Linked DNA regions of Nothobranchius furzeri. The protein of the gene in region 2 interacts with the protein of the main gene of each other region in a pairwise test. Links are inferred from orthologs where the notes say so. Each region holds a gene or a part of one and is shown on either strand. Other genes may lie near its edges.

What was found.
Region 1: the proteins of katnal1 (region 2) and cox17 interact in binary tests that used the Homo sapiens proteins (3 or more experiments, as listed by UniProt). The two-hybrid records come from large-scale screens. The link is inferred for Nothobranchius furzeri from reciprocal best matches to the Homo sapiens genes KATNAL1 and COX17.
Region 3: the proteins of katnal1 (region 2) and katnbl1 interact in binary tests that used the Homo sapiens proteins (3 or more experiments, as listed by UniProt). The two-hybrid records come from large-scale screens. The link is inferred for Nothobranchius furzeri from reciprocal best matches to the Homo sapiens genes KATNAL1 and KATNBL1.

The regions. Positions count from the first base shown.
Region 1 is NC_091754.1:33,352,996-33,360,910, forward strand, and holds the start of cox17 (cytochrome c oxidase copper chaperone), read left to right. Parts: upstream 1-3,312; 5' UTR 3,313-3,743; intron 3,744-5,774; 5' UTR 5,775-5,781; coding exon 5,782-5,900; intron 5,901-5,983; coding exon 5,984-6,068; 3' UTR 6,069-7,915.
Region 2 is NC_091754.1:27,837,208-27,845,277, reverse strand, and holds the start of katnal1 (katanin p60 ATPase-containing subunit A-like 1), read left to right. Parts: upstream 1-2,905; 5' UTR 2,906-3,077; exon of another isoform or gene 3,078-3,081; intron 3,082-3,533; 5' UTR 3,534-3,545; coding exon 3,546-3,707; intron 3,708-4,291; coding exon 4,292-4,452; intron 4,453-4,820; coding exon 4,821-4,986; intron 4,987-5,051; coding exon 5,052-5,173; intron 5,174-5,242; coding exon 5,243-5,348; intron 5,349-7,998; coding exon 7,999-8,070. Other genes in the region: zgc:101559 (ras-related protein Rab-33B), read left to right, coding at 660-917, 1,200-1,646. UniProt on the Homo sapiens protein: Regulates microtubule dynamics in Sertoli cells, a process that is essential for spermiogenesis and male fertility. Severs microtubules in an ATP-dependent manner, promoting rapid reorganization of cellular microtubule arrays.
Region 3 is NC_091742.1:12,531,862-12,539,591, reverse strand, and holds the start of katnbl1 (KATNB1-like protein 1), read left to right. Parts: upstream 1-3,631; 5' UTR 3,632-3,769; intron 3,770-4,248; 5' UTR 4,249-4,259; coding exon 4,260-4,373; intron 4,374-4,514; coding exon 4,515-4,552; intron 4,553-4,740; coding exon 4,741-5,023; intron 5,024-5,106; coding exon 5,107-5,222; intron 5,223-5,293; coding exon 5,294-5,344; intron 5,345-5,478; coding exon 5,479-5,568; intron 5,569-6,468; coding exon 6,469-6,573; intron 6,574-7,262; coding exon 7,263-7,356; intron 7,357-7,587; coding exon 7,588-7,620; 3' UTR 7,621-7,730.

The DNA.
Region 1 (7,915 bases), about 5.5 Mb from region 2:
GCTGCTCACCGTCCTTCTACTTGCTTCTGTTCAATTAACTTTTTCTCCTTCTTTTCTTTTCTTTTCTTTTCTGGAAGCCAGATTTCCCTTTCTTGGGAAAAGACATGACTGACTCTCCTGCCTCCAGCTCTGGCTGTCGGCATCTGCGATGTCTCATAGCTGTACATGCGGCCGTGCAGCCCCTGGCCGCTGGTGTGGACTAAACCACTTTGCACATTTTTAAGGGGTGATAGATGCCTCAGAGGTTATTCAGTTATTATTTTTAAGGCGAAATTTTGTTTCTTAACCTCTTTATCCAGGTAAAGGGAAGTTTATTAAGACATTAAGTAAGTTGGGGGAAAAAACAACAACAATAAAACATTTTTATTCAAAGCTGTCTCAGGGCCCCTCCCTGCAGTGGGCCCTGGGTAAACGGTACCCTTTCCCCCCCCCAGTCCGACGCCCCTGTCCCAGACCAACCAGTATCAGCTAGAAACCGGGTAGAAAAAACTCTTATTTCTGCAGCTGGTGCTCTTAACGCAGAGTTTTTATTTTATAAATAATATAAACACAGACATTTTTACTTGAATTGTGGGACAAAAGAACATCCATCCATCAATTAGTTTTCACCTCTCCGAAGTTCTTTCTTCCACATCAACCCTCTCCAGCTCCTCCTGGCAGATCTTAAAGAGCAAGTAACGTCTAAATTAACTTTTTTTTTTGCTGATGAACTGTATAAATGAGTGTCTAATAGTGTTTTAAATGTGTGTATTCATTATTTTAGCATTTTGGTGCATTTTCTTTAAAAATTAAAAATTCTGCCTAAATACCACAGTATAGCGCCACCTTCAGCTTAAAACATAGAGTTTGAGTCATTTTGAATACACTTTAGCCAATGGCTAAAGAGAAAGATACTACGTAAACCAGTAGAGTACTACGTAGCAGCTCTGTGTCAAAGTTATAAAAGCATCGAGAGTCTCGGCCACGCCTTGTGGTGAGTTGGGATTTGGATTTGCAAGCGAGTGTAGGAGGTTAGCGGTAGTTCAGTATTAGCATATAGCATTAGCATAACCTAATCTTTAGCATAGCTTTCAGTGTTATACATACTTATTTAGTGTTAGCTTGGCTGTTGGATATTGTAGTTTAGTTAGTGTTTAGCTGTTAGTGTTAATAGGAAAGTAGTTTGGGCTTAGTGCTCCATATCGTGTTAGTATGGTGAGAAGGTGTAGTGTAGTGTGGTTGCGGTGGCTTTGTGGGGTTGTACTCCTTTCCGCTGGACTTAGAAATTAGGCACCAGTGATTGCGCGCAATTGGTGTCTGGAAAACAGTCAGTTCCCGCCTGGTGCTGTAGTTTGCAACCAGCATTTTACCCGCGATTCCTTCACCAACATGATGGAGTTTGAACTGGGTTGTTCTGCATGTCTCCGTTTGAAGAGGGAGGCTGTGCCCACTGTGGCTCTTCCTGGATTTAGATGCAGCCCACCGACTCTGCTCCCCCACCATGGCGGGCTCCAGTCTGAGGTGAGTAAGCTAAATAAAAGTTTTAACATCTTCTAAAGTCAATTCCCTACCTAAACGCAAATTTTGAGAGACGTGGTTCACTTAATTTAGCTAATATCAGTCTGCACTGCCTTTGGGCTGATTTTTAAAGTTCACAAAATGTGGAACGGGATGTAAGGTTAGAATCAGCGGCGAATCGGAACACATCTCGAAGCCCTGGCCGACGAAACAGTCCACATGACTATTACTGTCAGGCTCGGAGAAAATTCGGGTTGTTTTTGTGTCATGCTGTAGTTCTTTTTTAAAACACAGAACAGTTTTGTTACCCGTTTTCCCGCTACGTTTCGTTTGCGGCTGCAAACTTCCTCAGGCTGACGCTGATGGTGGCGTCACTTCCTTCTCAGTTTATCCGCGGGCAGCAGAGGACGTTGTCGCCCTCTGCTGCCCACTCTCCCCTCTCCGACGATGCAGTCCCATGCGCGGTCCAACGTGTAAACTCCATCGTCCCTGTTCATGGTCCCACATCCACGTCTCCTTGTCTCGATTGCTTCTTTTATCCATCTTTTGTATTTTTGTTGTTCGGTGTTTATGATCCTTATGTTGTCCCAGTCCATTATATGATTTTCTCTTATGCAGTGATCTGTTACTGATTTCTTTATTGTGCTTTCTGCTTCTTCTTTCACTGCTCTTGTGTGTTTTCGACTTGCCTCTTTCTCGCATTCCTTTCTATGTTCTATTGTTCGTGTGTTGAGTTGGCGTCCGGTTTCCGCTATGTATGTTTTATTGCAGAGTTTGCAGATCTTATGGTAAAAAAAAAAGAATCTTTAAAACGGGAACTGAAGGTGCACTGGAAAAGCCCAGTGGAGATCAGGAATGGGAGCGCAGCGTCTGGGGGGGGGGGGGGGGGGGGGGGCAGATCAGGTGAGTCCAGGAAGGTAAGTCTAAACTTGGTGGGTGCAGAGAATAGACTTACTGGGAGTAGGGGAGCGTAGGAATGAGGGAGGGTAGGTTGGGTGCCGGGGTGAATCCAAGTGGGGTGTCCAGGAGAGGGAGCGAGAGGAGAGCAGGAGAGCGGGCCGGCTGGGAGGAATGGAGAACGGTGAGAGCTGCGTCCGGAAATCCTATGTCTTTTATTCTTTTATTTGTGCCTGATGCGTTTCGCTGCTGTGGAGCGGGGCGCATCACCTTGTCCTCCGGTGACGCACCTCACTGATGCGGCCAGCAAGCACCGAGCACTCTGCTGTTTTTGCGGTCGGTAGATCTTTTAGAACTGCAGTTCAAAGGTAACTCATAAGGTGAATATATATGAACCCAGGTAGCAGTTTTTCTTTAGGATTGAGAGGAGATGCGGGAAGATAATAAACAGGCAGGACAGAAAAATAGTCAAATAAAAACAAGTTAGTTTTTATACCTGGTGGTTGCAACAAACAGACACCATTGAAGGTAATCAGAAGTGAGGAACAGAAAATGAAATAATTATTTTAATGTTTAGAGCAGCAGGAACTCCGAGAGGCTGCAGGCGCATCAGTGAGTTTGCGGCTGCTGCGCAGGGGGAGGGGGGGAGAGAGCTGAAGCAGAAACTACCGTTGTTAAAAGAAATGTGTTTAACTTTGAAAATGTGGGCGCAATTTTAATTGTCAAAAACTCCAGTGAACCATTAATTCATTTTGCTCAAACAGAAATTGAGGCCTGCCTCTAATTCTGGTCCTCCTTCCAATAAAGGCCTGGAGCTTGATGAGCTTTAGTCAAATACAGGCCCGGGCCTGTATTAGAGGATGTACGGTATCTGCAAATGCATTTTCATTGAGCCTTGATTCCAGGGACTCTGCCAGGTTCAGTCTGTAATGCCACCTCCGTGCTGTCTAACCACCAGTGTTAAAGACAATCAAGATGTCAATAACATTTCTATTCTATTCTATTCTATTCTATTCTATTCTAGTTATGGCTAATTATAGTCTTTAGAATTTAAGTTTTAGCTAAATACAGCCAAAGTAAATTTGTTTTAACTTACTGTATTCTTGGCATAATAGTGTCTTCAGATCAAAGTTCATTATTCCTCACCAAAACATTAGATTTGTTACCAGTTTTATCATGTAAATGCTAGTCTGGAATAGTTTTTCTGATTTTTTGCACAAATTAACTACATTTCCCAGAAGCGTAAAACACAAGGTCACGTGGAAATAAATTTTCCACGTGACCTTGTTACCCGGATGATATTGTCAATTTGAAGGTGAAAGTGTCCAGCTGGTGTGGACTCGATACAGGTAAGTCAGCATTACTTTTCATAAGTTAGTCTCGTTAATAATCAGCAGAGATTTTAAATGATGCGCTGCGTCATGCGTTCATTTAACCGCTGCGTCTATCTGGAAAGAAATCAGCTAAAATATGACGGAACATGTTAGCTAATGTGTGCTAGCTAACTTAATGTAATCGTTTCGCAACGTCTGGTGTTGGACTAGAGGACTAGAGACAGCACGGCGAAACAAGTCATGAAGGCACGTTTCGATGCCCAAAAAGTCCTCAAGGTGCCGAAAGTTCCGTGCTAGTTTCTGTTTCTGAGTTCAGGCTTCTGGAATTTACGTCAGTCCACGTGTGTGTGTGTGTGTGTGTGTGTGTGTGTGTGTGTGTGTGTGTGGGGGGGGTAAATGCTGTAATTTGAATTTGATTTGGAATAAAATCCTAATACAAAAGATCAGAGTGTTTGAAATGTGTTAAAACTGTTGTGTCTTGTAAATGTAGTTTAGTAACACAAGTCAGAAGTAATTTTGAGTCATTTAGCAAATTATTCTGGAAGCTTTTAATTTCTTTTGTACTCGTTTACAAAGGACTACAAATTTGTTGATAGTCCCTAAGCGAACCACCGTTCCCTATAGCAAGTCCTTGGAATTCAGCTAACCTCCGTCTGTGCCGCAGTCAGGGGCGGATTTAGCAATTTGGGGGCCCAAGGCGAACACAGACACGGGGCCCCTTACACAAAATTTTCAACAATCTTACCTTTAACTAGATTTGCGAAACTCCTCCCTCTTCTGACATGAGTTATTTTCCCTTTTTATTAGTCCTCTTTTTTCCTTTTTTTCTCTCCCTTTGAGTGCTTTCAATATTTGCTCTGCTTTCCTTTTCCTGTCAGTGCTCCTGTGCTTTAGCCTTAGTTTTTTTTTTCTATTTTCCATTTTGGTCTATGTTTCCCCCCCTTTAAACATTTTCCATTGTCTTTCCTTTCTGCTTCTTTTTGATGTTTACACCGAAAAACGACGTCACTTTCAGAAGTGAAAATAAAAGCTTTTATGAAGCATGCTGCTTCTTTCTCTTATTGGAGCCACTAGTATAACTCCATTTCATGCTTCATATTTTGACTATCGCTTTGAGTTTGTTACGAACGCTCCCGCCTCTCTTCTTCTTATTATTTATCTCCAAACTCAGTTATCTTCCTCAGCTTTCCCCAGACGATGTCATCATCTCCGGTGGGACCCAGAGGTTTCCTGAGGCAGCCCAGAGATATTGGGTGTTTATCAGTGTGAAGGCACCTGGCCTTGTGAGGCTAGGCACATTGCTTACGAGGACACTGTCCTTCCTTGGTCAAAGAAAATGGTTAAACGGAACAGACTTGCATCCTGTGACTGTGGCTTCCACGGCCGTCACGTCACGTGACACGGGAGATAATGTTATATATATAATACATATTAGTTTCAATATAAATATATAACGAGCCTTTTACTTTTAAATTGTGTATAAGCTTGTTAAATTAAATATATGCGAGTTACTACCCCCCGCTAGCCACCGAAGCTGCAACTAAACAGCAACTAACCAACCATAGATAACTGCTTTGGATCTAAAAAAAAACATTTTAAATTACCTGACTTACTTTTAAACTTTAAATTTGCCCTGAAGTAGTTGCTGGCTTCTGATCTGCCATCCTTTTGAAAATACCGTGGTGTATTCTGGGAAATTTTTGACCAATGCTAGGCTACAAGACACCTCCCGCGTCTCCTCGCTCAGCTAGCTAAACGGCTAACAAACGGAGAACACACGCCTCGGCAGAACATGAACATTGGAACACGTCTTGGCGGCTCCTGATGACATATCTCCTAGGCAATCGGGGTGGGGCCAGGACATCAAGACGAGGTTCCTTGGCATTGAGAAACACCCATTATGTCTCCAGCATGTCCTGGGTCAGATCCGGACCTTCTTGCTTGTTTCGTTTCCGAGAAACATGGTTGGCGGACATGTAGATGAGCAACTGTGCACTCAACATTTAAAATTGTCCCGTTGAATTTTGCTTTTCTTCTATATTTCAGCTAGAAGATGTCCTCCCTGTGTGCTGCTAGCGTTGAGACTCCAGCTGTAACTGGAGCTGCAGAGCAGCCGAAACGTCTGAAAGCGTGCTGCGCTTGTCCAGAGACTAAGAAAGTCAGGGATGCCTGGTGAGAACCTGCTCATAGACACAAGAGCTGTTCCTGTTTTGGCGTGTAGAAAACATTTACTTCTCCCTTGTTTTTTCCTTCAGCATCATTGAAAAGGGAGAGGAGAACTGCAGAGACCTCATCGAGGCACATAAAGAGTGCATGAGGGCTCTTGGATTCAAGATTTAACCACTGGTTGTGTGTGTGGCAAGTGTCAATGGTTCTGTTTTAGTCTGCGTTGTAATTCATAGACCGGGTTACGTTTCCTTCTGGGTCAGATTTGTCTCTGTGGGGACTCTGTGGACCACTGGGTGGATTTTTTTAGACAGTCAGATCAAACTCTTTGGTTGTAGAGCTAATTTAAACCTTTGAGTCAACATCAGCCTACCCAACAAAGATGGCTACAGCTCTTGATCTCACAGAGTTTTATTGACAGCACTTACAGATCACACTAGGACCCTCATTTATCAAATGTTCATATGTCCTAAATTCCCTCCTATGACCAAAATTTAGAATGTGTGTACGAACAGTCAAGACTTAAACGTGCGGGAGCCTCTCGTACGTACGCATCTCCGCAGTCATCTGCTGATAAATCCCACCTGTGCGTACCCAGGCGTTCGTGTCCGCTCACCGTCATTTACATACAGAAACACCCTCAATTAACCATATTTGGTTACGCTATGTCCGCAGCACGTGAGGGGATTCCCTGTTTTTCTTTTTCCAGAAAAAATAAGAAAAACTTTGACAACGAGATCGAAACACTGGCTGCCGAAGCGCAAAAAAGAACAAGTTGCTAAGGTCATGAACGGGACTGAGAGGTTCCCGTCAGGAATAAATACAAAGTGGATTTGATAAATCGTAGAGTTACGGGTTGTTCGGAGTTAGTTTCATTTGGAAATGTTGTCTGAGTGAAGCCTCTGCCTCTTCTCAGCTGTCATTCAGTCTGGTTGCGTGCATGATTGGAGAGCAGAGGAGGACTTTGTGCTCTGTCGGTGACAGCTGCTCCCCTGCTGCTTTGCGTCTCGTGGGAAGGGCCAAGCAGCAGCTTACGCGAGCAAGACGTGCTGCTGCAGTAACGTGCTGCTGACGGCTCCGGTGGAAAGAAGGGGTTAGACCTTTATGATTGCTGTTCCCCCGGTCTACCTCCTAGATGCTGTTCGTACGCGTGGTCAGAGCTGTTCTTATGTTGAGGAACATTTGTACGCACAAGTACAAACTGGCAAATGCCACACGTAAAATCGTTCCCACGCACTAAACATGCACAGATCATGAGGGCTGAGGTCTTTTTAAAGAGCAAGTCACTCCAAATCAACATTTTTTTGCTGATAAACTATATAAATGAGTGTCTGATCGTGCTGTAGACAAATGTATTCAATAATTCGGCATTTTAGTTAAAATTTAAATATTCTGCCTAAAACTGTCAGCGATGCACCGTCGTCTGGTAAAAACTCTGCACTGCATTTGAATTTAAATTGCCATCGCTATTGGCTAAGAGGTACACTATGATGTTAGATCACATAAGTCAGAGTCAAGGCCCGCGGGCCACATCTGGCCCGCGGAGCATTTTTATGTGGCCCGCGAGATATATATCAAAAATATATTAAAACTGGCCCGCTGGCCGATTTTACCGCAAAGACTACAACTCCCATGATGCTTTGCGGCGCCAGCGCGGAGCAGACGCGCCCCCTCCTTTGTGTTTTTTCAGCGCCGAGGCAGTCAGAGGTAGTTGGGTGTCTGCAGCTCCGCTGTCTCGGACAAACTACACTCCTCTCACTCAGCGCCGAGTTCACTCAGCTGTTTTCTGACGTTGAAGCCCAGAAACGGAGATTCTAGCCGCTCAGTAATGTGTTCACGACTTAAAGAGAAAGTTTTCAAACTAACTTCCAGACAGAGCTGATATAACCAGCAAGAAGTGACACGCTAAAACCAGCACGACTCTGTGGTTGTGTTTCCTCCCCGACTCACAACAACGTGGTCAAGCTGCTCAGACATGTTCATCAGCACAAACCTATAAGGTGAGCACCTGTTGTCATCTA
Region 2 (8,070 bases):
CTAGCTCATGTTTGACAAAAATTTGACAAAATACCATGTAAGTTGTGCAAATCTATAACACACAATTTTAGAAAAACACATTAGTCATTCACTGAGTGGTAAATGACAATAATTGTTGTGCAATACTATAATGTACTTATCACTTGAAATTGTATAAATGTTAGTTTTTTTAGACTGTTGATAATGTTCAGTAAATTTGTAAAGAAATATGTTGAATTTAAATGAGAAAAATGTCTAAAAATAATAAAATCATCAACTGAGAGAAAGTTTTTCCATCAGTTTCCCTTAAAACATATTTCTTTGCTTTATTGCAACAACGTGCATGAAATTTTAATGTTTAAAATTTAAATTAATATTTAGAAAATCAAGCATATCTGTAAAAACTTTTTCCTCGTGCTTTACTCATTGAGCAAAACAGGCAAGCAAATCATAAAACAGCAAAGCAGTCAAATTTATTTAAACTACTAAATATTGTTGGAATTAAAAAATATTATTAAGATAATACCACATCTTTGGACAATTATATAATTAAACTGATTTATTGTGTTTTTGTGCTTTTATTGTTTATTTTCTGCTACTAGGACTTCCCCAGGTGACATTCTAGCGGCGATTTTTCATCTTCTCGCGATACTTCACTGCCGTGACGTAACACTCCAAACATGAGCGATGTCAACAAAACACAGGAGGAATGGGACTCAGTTTTCAGTGAAAACGACTCCTTAGAGCTCTTCTCCAGCCTTGAAAATGACAACAAACAAGCTCGAACGTTTAAGATTATCGTCATAGGAGATTCTAATGTGGGGAAGACGTGTTTGACCTATCGCTTCTGCGGGGGCTCTTTTCTGAAAAACCCGGAGGCGACAATCGGAGTGGATTTCAGGGAGAGGACGGTGCAGCTGGACGGAGAGAGGATCAAGGTGAGAAGGCTCTTAAAGCAATCAGATGTTTTCAGTCATAACAGAACTTTTTATGGGATTCACGGCAAAAACAACATTTTAATAAAACAACTTATTTAGCTACATCAGATATTTAGATTGTATTACAGTATAAAGCAGCTGTGGCACAAACCAGCTGTGTTAGATCAGATGGCCTTTCTACTGACATTAGACTACTATGGTCAAGTCTGCTTGGAGATGTGTGCCACAGACAAAGTGTAAGGAGTCAGATTATGACTTGATGTGTTTTTGATTCTATTCCAGCTGCAGATTTGGGACACAGCTGGCCAGGAGCGGTTCAGGAAAAGCATGGTGGAGCACTACTACCGCAGCGTCCATGCCGTCCTCTTTGTGTATGACATGACCAGTCTTCTCTCCTTTGAGAGCATCCCTGAGTGGATCAGCGAGTGCAGCCGACACTCTGTGGGGCCCTTAGTGCCTCAAGTGTTGGTAGGAAACAAATGTGACCTGAGGGAAAGTTGCCAAGTGCCCACGTCGGCTGCTCAGTCTCTCGCTGACAGCCACAACATACCTCTGTTTGAGACCTCGGCCAAAGACCCCAGTGAGAAAGAACACATCGATGCGATATTTCTGACTTTAGCTTACAGGCTGAAAAGCAACAAGACTCTGAGACTGAAGCAGCCGAGTGAGAGCAGTCTCAGGGAAATGCGGGACCAGCAGGAGCAGGATGCAACATCTTGTCGATGTTGAGGTTATCTGTGTCCCAAATGAGCGGAAAGTGAACGTAGATCCTGCAGCAGACTTTAAACAGATAATCGAGCCGGTTTAAAAAAATGTCTCTAATTTGTGTTTTAAAAAAATTGAACCGAAGCTTCCTGTGATTCAAAACTGGACCCATGCCACAATGTAGATGTATACGTTTGTTAACCAACCTTTCTGTGAAATGAAAAAGGGGAATGTGGGTGTATTCCAAGTATTTGCACTTTAGATGAATGGTTATGAATGACTTGCATTATTCAAAATCATCACCCTTCTTAAAGGATTCACTACTAGATCACAACATAGACTGTAAGTATTATTTTTGAATGTAAAATCACAGAAACAGCTCAGTCAAAATCAGGAATGCAATTTTAAACATGGAACTGTCTTTGGACGGGATTTAAATACATTTTATTTACAAAATAAATTTGAGTATTAGTCCTAATAATGACGATTAACTCTCATCAAATATGGTATTTATGCTGCATGTATACAGCAGTATAGTTTTCGCAAAGCTAGAGATTTCTGACCATGTAAAGCAGCAAATCAAATAAAACACTTTTTATCTGGATTATAAATGTGTATTTTTGACTATTCTGGTTGTTGCTCTGTAACATTAGCTCAAACATGTCAGGTAGCTGGTCTTGTTTGACAAAGGAACTATGTAAGAATAAATCAGTTCTGATATTATCTCACACTCCCTTTAATAATATTAATGATGATAATAATTAATGCAATATGCCAGTCTCTGAACAAGAAAAGTTTAATTTATACAGCTTTATAATTTAACTAACTGTTGATGAAGATACTTTACAATAAAAAGAGGCATATGGTAAAAATGTGCTACAATTGTCTCCTATTTGACGTAATTCTAGCGCCCTCTAGCGGACAACACATGTAACTAGCAATAATGCGTTACGGAAAGTTACGTAAAAGGGCGAGTCTGTAATTATAAGTACTAGTTTAACCTACTTATTAAGAAGAATTCTATTTGTTAAGCTTTGTTGATTAGTTGTGCTCTTACAACTGTGACTGATTAATGTGCATGCATAAATAAAGGGGCGGGGTGCTGCTACCGGTCCCCATTGAATAGTGCCTGCATGGTGTTTGTTTGTTCCTCCGTCAAGGGTAACTGGCCGTCGGTTCTCCTGTCTTCAAATGGCTGCGTCAACACTATTAATTAAGACTAAAAATAGCTACAAAATCTACTTCTTTATATGTAACGTTGACGTGTGGTGACAGTTTTCAAGCGGTTCTTCGCCTAATGGAAGCTGTGTTGTCATTTTTACCAGCTTTTTATGGGTAAGTGAAAGCAGCACGGTAACCAGGCAGTCTGTATTCTCTTCTCGGCGTCTCCGCGACCACAGCTCTCTTTTCTGGAAGACGACGTCAGAGAACACCTGTCCGTCAGACGTTTTTCGTGTAGGTATGAGTATTATTCCGTGGATAAATGTTTAATTTACGATAATGGTCGCCATTGTTAGCTTGTTTTGGAAGCTCCACACGAGGAGCCTTTTCTCGCTGACACGATTCGGTTTGTTTGTTTGTTCATTTATTTATGAGTTATCTGACCGCAGGCTGTTGACGCTAACGTAGATTGTAAGGGAGTGTAAGAAAGTAAACAAGCTTATATGTAATGTCCAGCTAAATTTCCCATGAGGTGAAGTTCACTGCCCACCAGCAGCTAGCTTAACCTGCATGTAGTAGGTTGCAGTCTCATTCTGATAAAAGCAGACGTCTAGATTTAATCTGTTGTACATTTACATTTAGGGGGCGTAATGACAAATGCTGGGTTGAATTTACATTTCGAACAGCCATCGGTAGCCAGTGCTTTGTTATTCTTCTTAGACATGTTTGGTTCCCTCTTTTTTTTTTTAGCTGTCTTTCAACATGAATTTGGCTGAAATCTGTGACAACGCCAAAAAGGGCCGTGAATATGCCTTACTAGGAAACTATGACTCCTCCATCGTGTACTACCAGGGTGTGATTCAGCAGATCCAAAAGCACTGTCAGACCCTCAGAGATCCAGCACTTAAAGTGAGATGGCTGCAGGTGAGTCCCTTGAAACCTGGTCTGAACCATTTTTGAGCTTTTGTTTAGGTTCCTCGCCCCTGTTGTTTTGTCTATTGTTACACGATCAGAGTCTACCAACATCTGATGGGTTTTAAAGTATTAAAAAGTGGCAGATTGTTCCAGTAGAGCTGATAATTCTGTCAATTATTCCAAAACTGAAGGCAAGTAACAAATATCTTGTCCTGTGTAGACACTGTGGCACGTTACTAAGATGTTTTGTGGTCATAAAAATGTTGAGAATCCTTCCATATGTGGCACCAAAGTCAAACTCCAGCATGTGAAGGTTAGTGTGGATTGTTTAAAAGCACTCCACACAAGGTTGACCCGGAGACACGTGGAAGGATGGCTTTTGTTAAAGTGCACCTACGCAGATTTCTAAGGAGAGAAGCCTACAATGACACCAGTTTCAACAAAGTCAGTTTTTTGTCGGCTGAAAAAATACACTCTTGCAACCGGGTTTTCATGTAGAAGTTCATTATCCATCGACTGCATGTGCAAATGAATGCATTTTATCACATTTTTTCCGTGATTCATTATTTATTCTCCCTTTTATTGGTAATCAGCTCAGACAGGAACTGACTGAGGAGTACGAGCAGCTGAAAGGCATCATGGGAACACTTGAGAGCTTCAAGTCAGTGAGGCCTGCTGAGGTCCTCCCCTCTAAGGTGGAGGAGCGACCCGAGGATCCAGCTGTGTGGCCTCCACCCATCCCAGCAGAACACAGGTGGGTAGAGCTGGTGTGCTGCAGATTTCATTGCTTTTGGATGAAGAAAACTAATTATAGAAAGCATGTTTCTAAGTTTGACAATGGTAGATTTTATATCAGCGGATATAAGCAGAAATGACCCATGCCTATTGTGTTTTTGTAAACCCAGGGAGCACGGCTGCGTTTGTGTTTCAGTGATCAGAGTTCAAAAAGAAACTCAGCAGAGCAAAACCGGCAGAAGGAAGCACTTTGAGTTTATTTTGCATAATCGGTTTAATCTCTAGAATAATAAATAACTATCAGAGATCGTCTTTTACCTGTTATCCTGTCTGAAACTGCTGGTATTTTCAGCTATTATCCATCTTTCTATATCGTATTCTTTGTAGGAATCCTGTTGCAGCGAAGCGGCCCAACAGCGCCGTGAAGCAGCAGCAGAAGAAGGACTCTTCTGGTCTGCAGCATCGAGGAGCAGGGCCAGGAGGCCGTGCCCAGGTCAACCCCAAGGCAGCAGGGGCCAGAGACACTCGGGGTACAAGGGCCAAAGACGATAAGGTCAGGCAGCTGAGCAGGCAGACATGTTGTTGGAGCCTTTTATTAAAATATCCTTTTCTCTGCAGGGGAAGAAACCAGATCTACAGGGAGATGCAGAACAGAAGAAGTTTGATGGTACAGGATATGACAGCGACTTGGTGGACTCACTGGAGAGAGACATTGTGTCTCGTAACCCCAACGTTCACTGGTATTTATATTTTAAGCTTTGTAGCAGATTTCTTTCTGCTCTGCTCACTGGTTGCTCTCTGATCTGTAGGGACGACATCGCTGATCTGGAAGATGCTAAGAAGCTGCTGAGGGAAGCCGTGGTGCTTCCCATGTGGATGCCTGACTTCTTTAAGGGAATCCGGCGGCCGTGGAAGGTACAAAGGCCGGATGTGTGCTTTCATCCTACTTTAGGATCAAATTCGGTTTAATCTGCTGTATAATCTCAGATTTTCCTCTCGGTTAAACTTCATCATATGAGGCCTTTTTCCCTTCAGGCCCAACATGTGAGAATTTTTAAAACGGCACAGCTCTTGTACACCAAAACTTTCATTTTAGAAATTGATGCAGGGCAGATTTTTCACCAAAAAATCTGTAGGAGCAGCAAAAACAAGAATCCATAAACGGGTTTAGAGGAGAAATACATCTGAGTGCAGGTTGCCTGAAATCTACGGAAGCCCTAAAAGGCAACTGAAAAAAAAAATTCTTGTGGCATTTTTCAAAGTTTTTATTTATTTATTTATTTTGCACAGCCCAGAGAGGCAAATGGAAAAAAGTTCTTGTAGCAATTTTCTAAGATTTTTTTTTTTTTTGGCCAGAATTCGAATCAGAAGGGAATCACAACATTAGGAAATTGCTGCGATACTTGGTGCAAGAAAATTTTAATGATTAGCAAAAATTATAATAAGGAAATAAACACAATGAAATGATAATAATGTATACAAGCCAGTGTAGGTACTGGTCCGAGCGGACCTATCAGTTAAGGTGCAAACACAACACATGGTCATGTGACGGAAACAAAGCAGCTGGAGTTGGCAGTTCTATGATTGACATTCATGAGTCTGACCACAGAAGGGGAAAAAACTGTTCGTGTGGTGAGAGGTTCTGGTCCAAATGGATCGGGCCTCCTGCCAGATGGGAGTGAGTCAAAAAAGACTGTGTGAGACGGGTCAGCTGTGATCCAACCTGCACACCACAATGTCCTGGAGGTGTACAGGTCCTGTATGGAGGGGAGTTAGCGGCCAGTTACCTTCTCAGCAGAGATCATGACGCGTTGCATTCTCTTCATGTCCCTGATGGTAGCTCCAGCATACCACATGGTGATTGAAGAGGTGAGGATGGACTTGATGACTGCGGTGTAGAACTGCCTCATCGACTGTCTGGTAGGCTGAATTTCTTCAGCTGCTTCAGGAAGTACATCCTCTACTGGGCCTTTTTTATGATGGAGGTGATGGTATGCTCCCACTTGAGGTCCTGGCTGATGGTGGTGCCCAGGAAGCGACATGAGTCCACCATCATGATGAGTGTCACACAGGGTTGTGGGGGGAGTGGGGCTGTGTGCTTCCTAAAGTCCACGACAACCTTGTCTGTCTTCTGGGTGTTTAGCACCAGGTTGTTGTGGCTGCACTAGGACACCAGCCGTTCGACCTCCATTCTGTAGGAAGACTCATTCCCATCAGAGATGAGTCAGATGACGGTGGTGTCGTCTGCAGACTTGATAAGCTTGACAGACTCATGGTTAGAGGCGCAGCTGCTGGTGTGAGGGGAGAGAACACAACACTGATGGTCTGCAGGTCAGAGACATTCTTCCTCAGCCTCACTTGCTGCTTCCTGTCCACCAGGAAGTCAGCGATCCACCTGCAGATGGGGTCGGAGATTGGGAGAGCTTCAGCCTTTGTTTGTATCCTGGGATCAGATGGATGGTCACATGGTCAGAAAGTCCGAGTGCAGTGCGGGGCACTGCATGATAGGCTCTCGTTACCATGCTGTAACAGTGATCCAGTGTCCTCTCCTCTCTGGTTGGGCATTTACTATATTGTTTATATTTGGGAAGCTCCTGGCTCAGACTGGCTTTGTCAAAATCTCCCAGAACAATGATGAGGGAGTCCGGGTTCGTCCGCTCCATGCACAATGTCTGTTCCGCGAGCCGAGCCTCATGCACATCCGAGTCTGGCGGGATGCAAACAGCAGCTGGAATGAATGAAGCAAACTCCCGTGGAGAGAAAAAATGGTTTACAGTTCATAAAAAGATATTCCAGAGGGGGAACAATGCTGAGCGATTGCTGTAAGATCTGTACACCAACCATTATTCATGTAAAAACACACACCTCCACCTGTTGTCTTGCTGGAGAGAGCCGCTTGCTGATCGGTGCAGAGGAGACGAAAGCCCTCCAGCTGGAGCGTGCTGTCCGGGATGCCCTCACTGAGCCACGTTTCCTTGTAACACAAGACACAAGATGAGGAATAGTCTGTTTACGTTTCTCATCAGGGCCAGCTTGTTGCAGAGTTGGAGAGGAAGACCCCAGGTAGAGCTATGGAAGGCAAAGAAATGTTCTCCTAGAAAAATTTTAAGTCATTTTTTTTCTGACTTAGCCCAGTAAGGCAAAGGAAAACGTGTCTGTCCTCTTGTAAATTTTCTAAAGATGTATTTTTGTAAAAGTTCAACTTTTTTTTAGTTTGCCTCTGGGCTAAAAGAAAAAAAAACTTAAAAAATGCAACGCTGGAAGAAAAAAAATTATTTTTCGTTGCCCTGCAGGGCTTCCGTAGATATCCCTGCACCAGCTGCTGATTTTTAGTCCACGCCCACTTTTCCTGCTGAACTTCCAATAATTCCCATCAGCATTTAGCCGTAATGCTCAGTTTGAGTCATCCCACAGGGTTGCAGCCTCTTCTGGAGCATCGATGGTTTCTATTCTGGCAAAATATAAATATTGATCAAATGGAAGATTTAGATTATTCCAGTGATTTTTTTACTATTTATTTATTTTACATAATTTATGTTTCTACTGGAAACCCTTTTCTCTTTAGGGAGTGTTGATGGTCGGCCCACCCGGGACTGGGAAGACCATGCTAGCTAAAGCTGTGGCCACAGAATGTGGG
Region 3 (7,730 bases), on a different chromosome or scaffold from region 2:
TGTTTGAGAGACTATCGTAAGAAAGTAGTTCCACATTCAAACAGCAGTGTTTTTGATGAAAATAACATGATAAGTGCTCTCTTGTGGTTGATTCCAGTACATGTTTTAAGCCCTGTCTCCTCCATATAAAGGAAAGAAACATTGTCCTCCATAAAAAACAAAGAAACCTTGTTTCTGTTTCCAACAAAGAAAGTTAACTGATAGCTGATGGTACACTGATAGCTGCAAAACCTGTGCTAGAATACAAAGATCAATAGATTTCTCCCAAAACATCATCAAACACCAGCCTGTGGTTGAGCTGAACCTTCTGAGTAAAGTGTATTCTTGTCTCTAGTTTGTATAATCAAATGTGTGAACAAACGCTTTACTGTCTGCAGGCGGTTCCCACCCAGGCAGCTCAGAGGTGAGGAAGTTTACCACCTGCTGACGGTCCCAGAGCATGAAAGGAACTGATGCAAGCTTCAACTTTCCACTTGTGTTTTAAAACCTCTGAGAGAACAAGTCAGTACAGATTAAAGTACCTTGAGATCGGGTTAGACTATTAAACCATTTAAGCAGCTGGATCTATCACCAAAAGTGTCCTGCAGCCATAGACGAGTACTGCCATCTAGTGTTGGGAAGTGCTCTCCTCGCTCTCACGGCACTGACCCTTCAGCATCTGTTTGCTGTAAAAGGCCACCTACTTTGAGATCCGTATGTCCCGACTCGCTGTAACAAGACGGGGATTTGCTTTGGTGGTTGAAATAAATCACAAGTTTAGCATGAAATTGCAAACATTCTTGAACCTGAGAGGTAGGGTAAAACAAACGCATGACCTGTTTCTGCTGCGTATTTAGAAACTTGAGGGTTATCGTGTTTGGTTTATCTGTGCGGTTGGTGAACTGTGTTCTCCAATCCCAGCTGTTTTTGTTTTTTTGTTTGTTTGTTTTTTTTGAGTGAAACTTGTCAGCTGTTAGCTTTGCTTTAAGAGAAGTAAAATGAAGGAATGTGAAAGTCTGAGTCAGCAGCAGCTGATGCTTGTTAGACATCATTACATCAGAGACTGATGGGTCCCCGGGGTCGCTTGTGCTGCACGAGAAGATGAGCAACACTGATAACTGGGTTGGTGGGGGAGGTGGATGCAGACTGCTGCACAGGGTCGGCTGAGTTGGAGTTGTATTGGTTGGAGGCTTTCTGACACAATTCCCAGAGATGTTTGGATGAGTCAGAACTCTTAAGCGTCTCTCTAAGAGTTTCATCAGACCTGCCCTGTGAGTCTGTCACTGAATCCCATCATGCTGAAATCACACCCTCTGAGATCTGCCATCAGTTTCAATTTGTGGACAAAGAGTTGCTACAAGAACATTCAAGGACAGCAGCTGTTATTTAACACAGGGATGCCCTGCAGCAAAGAATCACTGCTCCCATCAAAATTAACACACCTGATCCAAGATATAAGTATAAATAATCTCCCCACTGTGGTCTGGGTCTGCTGTAGGGTCTGAGCTCATCACCGTGGCTCTAATGCTTACAGATGAAGAAAGTCCATCTCAAGGGATGTTGTGACGTGTTTATAAACCAACAATTTCACTTTAGCCTTGAAAGACATGAATTCAATTAAAAAGTGTTGTTTAAAAAGTCATCAGAATGTAATCTCTGGCTTTAGCTGGAGTGATTCTCAGCCAAGTGTGAAGCAGCTGGGATGAGAATCAGCTCCTCTAAATCTGAAACCATGGTCTTGAGTCAGAAAAGAGTAGAATGCCTTCTCCAGGTCAGGGATGAGGTCCTGCCTCAAGTTCAATTCAATTCAAGTTTATTTATACAGCGCCAAATCACGACAAACGTTGTCTCAAGGCACTTCACATAATAAACATTCCAATTCAGGTCAGTTCATTAAGCCAATCAGAAAAAAGTTTCGTATATAAGGAACCCAGCAAATTGCATCGAGTCATTGACTAGTGTCAGTGACTTTACAACAATCCTCATACTAAGCAAGCATGCAGCGACAGTGGAGAGGAAAACTCCCTTTTAACAGGAAGAAACCTCCAGAGGATCCTGGCTCAGTATAAGCAGCCATCCTCCACGACTCACTGGGGATGGAGAATACAGAGCAGACATACACACACTCACGCACAACACACACACACACACACACACACACAAAACACACGCAACACACACACCAAGTAGTGTTTCTATGGTAACATTGTGATTTCTTAGTAAATATTCTATTTGGTGAGTTATAAACTTTATTGTATTTATCTTAGTGGATCTATAATTAAACAGTTAAACTAGTAGTAGCACATGCAATGTCAAAGAAAGTAAAATATTATCAGGAGAGGGAGAATGATTAAATGATTAGCAACAGTGTTCAAGCCGATGGCCCCCTCCATGAGGCCACCACAGCTCAACAGAACATCATTGTAGCTTCTTCTGGGGAGAAAAAACAGAGAAAAAATAAAGTTAAAAGCTGAAATAGCAGGAAATAATACAGTTAAAGAGCAGATTGTAGAAGAAAGTAGTCGAGTGTGGAAAGTGGTCAGTGTGTCCTCCAGCAGTCTAAGCCTATAGCAGCATAACTACAGAGATAACTCTGGATAACCTAGCCTTTTAGATGGAGGCATGTTGGAGGCAGGGCAAGGGAGAGCCGTCTTTACCGACTGTACACTACACCTCCCTCTACTCCCCCACTTGTCCAGATCTAGGTTAACATCAGATTTTACCCATAGGCCCTATCAAATAAAAATGTTTTAAGCCTAGTCTTAAAAGTAGACAAGGTGTCTGCCTCACAGACTAAAGCTGGGAGCTGGTTCCACAGGAGAGGAGCCTGATAACTAAAAGATCTGCTCCACCTGAATCCGAGGTTCGACAATCCGCCGTACCCTCCTCTCCAGAACCCCAAAATAGATTTTACCAAGGAGGCCCAGGAGTGTGATCTCCCTGTAGTTGGAACACATCTTGCGGTCCCCCTTTTTAACCACCCCAGTCTGCTAATCTAGTGAAACTGCCCCCATGTTCACGCGATATTGCAGAGCCTCGTCAGCCAACACAGCCCTACGACATCCAGAATCTTAAGGAACTCCGGGCAGGTCTCATCCACCCCTGAAGCTTTGTCACCCAAAGTCCCCGGACCATTCTTCCTCACTAGAAGACGTGCTGGTGGAATTGAGGGGGTCTTTTATCTCATCTGTAAAGTTTATAGACAAAAGACAAGATTTAGGAATGCATAATAAGATGAATGAATTCAGTCTTCTTGAAAAAACTCTCGTTTGTAGTGTTATGTTTTGTTTTCAGTGTTTTGTTTTTTCCCTGTTTAATTCTACATTTTTAAATTGAACTCTTCTTGTTTTGCTCCTATTTGGATTAAAAAGGAGTCTGTTTTAGTACATTTTAAAGCAGAATTTTTTTCTGAAAGTATAAACCATATTAGTTGTATATTTGTCCATTTAAAAAAAAGTTTATGACGGGGGACATATTTAGATGCAACACCCTACCTGTTCTTAATCGAGCTGCATTATGGGCTACTCCACGCTAGATGGCGCCAGAGTGGAGACTTCTTTAGTGACTGCTGCTGTGTAAACGTCCGACAGTCGCCGCTAAAACTACAGAAACTGTGGCGTTTCTTTGCCAAAATATATCCCACAATCCCTCCTCACCGGGTGGTGTATTCATTTGAATGGTAAAACAGACTTGCTAACACGGACGGGAGGTGAACTTTCAGTTTTACCTGGTTTTCTGCTTTCGGATTTACACACCCGAGGGGACCTGTTGGATTTAACAAAATGAACCGGTTGGTATTTAAATCTACCATGTAAATGGAGAAATATACGCTTTTCTTAATTACCTAGCATGAAGTTGTAAATTGCCTGAGGTGGAATGCTAACCCTTTTAGCGCGGCCCAGCTAGTTACTTTCCACGTCTCGGTGTTTTCTTCATAATTAAGCTAAATGCTATTAGTCGAAGCTAAAAATACCGTCATTGTTGACGCATGAAGCAGCTTTATAGCTGAGAAATGCAGTGTTTCCATTTTCCTAACTTGATTGTTTCATGTTTAGCGAAGAAAAAAGTAGCTTTTAACTTTTGCTGCAGTATATTGAGCTTAAAGCGGCCAATGCCTCAGAGTTTATTCCAAGTTAAGCGTCTGTTTATCGATCTGGATCACTCTGCACCGTAGCTCGGAGGCTAGCTAAAAGTTAGCCAACATGTTAAGTTAGCGTTGGAAACAGCAGTTTTATTATCAATGATTGTCCTAATTTTCTGTCCCAACAGCGTCCCTTATTATGGCATTTGGTAAGCATGTTTGCCGACAGAAAGCCTTTAATGTCAGCAACCATAAATCCAATGGCTTTCAGCGAACCTGTCTGCACGTTTCTACTGAAAAGATCATGAAGCAGGTATGAAGCCACAGAACCAACAGCTTTGTTGTATTAAATGCAGTACTTGTTTGGTTTAGTCCTGGTGACAGTGAAGTGCCGTTCAGTGGTGTTGTAGTAGAGACTGTGGGAGTGGCCTCATCCCCTATCCTTTTGTTTTAGGTGGAAATTAAAAATAAGGAAGAATTAGATAAGAACAGGTGAGTCTCTAATCCACATGTGGGGTTCATCCAAATGTGATCATTCACTCATTCTGCCACAGATCACCCCTTCCAGCCACGGGAACCTTCAGACATCTTTCCATGACCATATATCACAACGTCTGTGACCCTAAACGTTGTTTTTAAACTTTCACGGCCTGCGCTAATCTCCATGTCTCTTTTGGCAGATTTCCGGTGCATTTCAGAAAGCAGAGTCCAGGCAAAGTGAAGCGGTTGTCGTTTTGCAAGAGGAAGAGTTGTTCGTCAGTGGAGGTGGGCACAAAGCTTCACTGCAGGTTGTCAGATGTAGGCCGTCCCCGTGACCCCGGCATGGCCAACAAAGAAAATGAGCTGTCGTGCTCCGATGATGTGCGGAGCATTCGCTGCTATGATAACCACGGGCTGCTGGTGAACTCTGCAGAGGCTTCCAAGATGGCAGGGGCCAGCTCTAAGTACAGCGACTTCACTGAGGTGAGAAACTGATCTGAAGCTGAGTGTTAGTTGGAAAAACACCACCCTGTTTGAGCCGTCGTTGGTTGTTTGTTTCTGAGTAGTTATCGAAGGAACACGAAGCTATGTCTCGCATCCTTTTTGGAAGAGATCTTCGACTTAAAGTTGCACTAACATTATGGCGAAGAAATGCCAGTGAATTGGTGTCCTATCTAATAAGGTAAAAGCACCACTCACATTTGGTGTTTAGTGTTTATTTGTCAGTTACATGTTATTGTTTTTGCTTCCCAGAATACAAGACACAAGCGTTCTGCTCGACTGCTTACCGGTCTTAACAAACAAGTAAGTCACATTTGGCTTTTACCTCATGGTTGTTCATTCTAAAGTTTTAAGTTTAATATTTACTATGCCTCTGAAAGGTGGGCGATTCACGTGTCTGCTTTCCATCGCATGTGGTTTTTTTTCTGTTTCATCAGCCTTCAAACTGAAACGCCGTGTTTGTCACTTGGCTGCTGTGTTGACCTCATGCCTCACGTCAAAGTGGTTCTCTCCAGTAAACATGAAGAGTAAGTATATTATTCTGACACCTTAGCTTGTTTGAGCTAGCTTGTGCCGTCAGAAACATTCAAACCGTTTTTAAAAGAGAAGTTGAGCTTTTAAGTCAACTAAAGTGCGCAACTCCGCACTCGCGCTGATGAAGCGTAAACCAAGCTTTAGAAACCAGCCTGAACCTGCTGATGTGGGAGGAGTCTCTCTCTCCCCTACTCAACTACATTCTCTCTCTCTCTGTCCCGGGCTCACCTACGGTGCCATTATTATCGGCTCTAGCAGCGCTGTGTGTGGGAACATAAAACCGGGAAATCAACCTGAACATGCAGCTTTGGCAGCTGTGGAGTTGGGCTCAGCTCTGGACGGTACACCCCACCCCCCTCCCCCGCGCTGGCTTTTGCTGCCGCCATAACACGGGGAAAACCCCGGATGTAAAAAATAGTTGCACTACTGATCCTGGATCAGTCAAAAACCGCAGTTTTGACGCTCACGTGATCGTGCTGTTTGAAATCGCAATTTCGGTCCAAAAACGATAGATCGTTCAGCCCTAATTTCGGTCCACCAGTAAAACGCTTTCTGCGTATACTCCTCAATAAAACGTTCATATTTAAGAGTTTTTCCGTGAAGTAATCTTCAAGTTGCTCTGTGTGCTGCTAGATATCTTCAGCTCTCTTTGTGTTTTGGGCCCATTGGCTGTGCTGTTGTCAAAAGCAGCATCCTGACCAATCACAAGCTTACGTTCTCTGTCTTGTTCAACGGGTGTTTAGAAAAGTGTGTTTGACTCCGTCCGTCCGTGCGAGGGCTCTCCAGCAGGCTTGCAATGGCGTTGAGTGGGCTTTAAGGTTGCATTTGTGACTGAATGTCATATAATCAGGATATCTAGATGTTCGAACTTCATTGTTCTGTTTTTCTTATAGACACATAACCGCAGGTTTACACTGGATCCAGTCTGTCGTCAAAAAGTGGTGGCCAGATCTTTCTAAAAGTGAGAAGAGACTGCGGGACAGTTGTTCAGATGACAGGTGAGCATTTTAGTAAAGGACAGCAGGTGATTTTATTTTTAATGGCTCAAACTTCTGTGATGGATGTCAGAACAGACAGCTGTGATGCTCAGAATATACCCCAGTGCACACGTTAGAGTACTGGAACGAACTGGTGCCCAGTACTACATGACATCATCTAGAGCGGGCGTATAAAAGTATGGTCCAATAGCATTTCTCTAGCTAGATTTTGTCCCTCCAACAGACTCGGCTTATTTTAAAATGTTGTGCTAAGATTTGTGCCTTTTGGGCATTTTTTGAGCAAAACACATAAAAACAATTTTTACGTTTTTGTGGCCTGTGAAGACTTGTTACTCGTCTTGAAAAGTTCAAATATGGAAAAATAAAACGATTAAACCTGCATGGAAATAAAAGCAATAGAGTTATTTGTTATTGTGAGGCTTTGGTGCGTTCTGTTGTCAAAACCAGTAAACAGAACCTGAAATTGGTCTAGAGAGAGACTTGGTTCAGATAAAATCTGGAGACTAAAAGTTTGGAGAGTTTTCAGGATTCAAAGTTTTTATTGTCTCCAGAAAATCAACTAAACCTTTTGGGCATGAAGATTTAGTTTCATGTGAAATCATCATGCTGCTTAGTAACATGAATCCAGTTCTCCACATGACAGAAATATTACGAAATACGGGATCATTGGTATCATTTTTTTATTTCAGAAACATTGAGATGATGAGACAGCGACTGAAGGACTTGTGGAAGGAAGGATCTCGATTATGTTCGGTTCCAGGATCTATTGGAGAACTGGCAAAGGTATAAATGACATCCTTAATATATCCATCATGAGTTTTCTTTTATACAAGGTTCTTACAGGGGCCATAAATCATTCAAAGTGCTTCAATTCTAATGTATTTTCAAGGTTTTATCACATTTCTGTTTGAAAATGATTTCATAAGTGCGTGTTAAATCTAACACTACATCTTATAATGCTGACTTTTTCCATCTAGCTGTACTAATAACGATGTGCTGACTCTTGTTTTGCAGGCCATTGAGGCGTACCTGTTGCAGCTGCCCTGACAGGTGTTGCTGAAGCACTCCGAGGATAAGACCACTACTGCTGATCACGGTTGTGTTTTCAACTGATAATGTTGCCAGAGAGATGGACTGGTGCATTCTCTTCACACTCA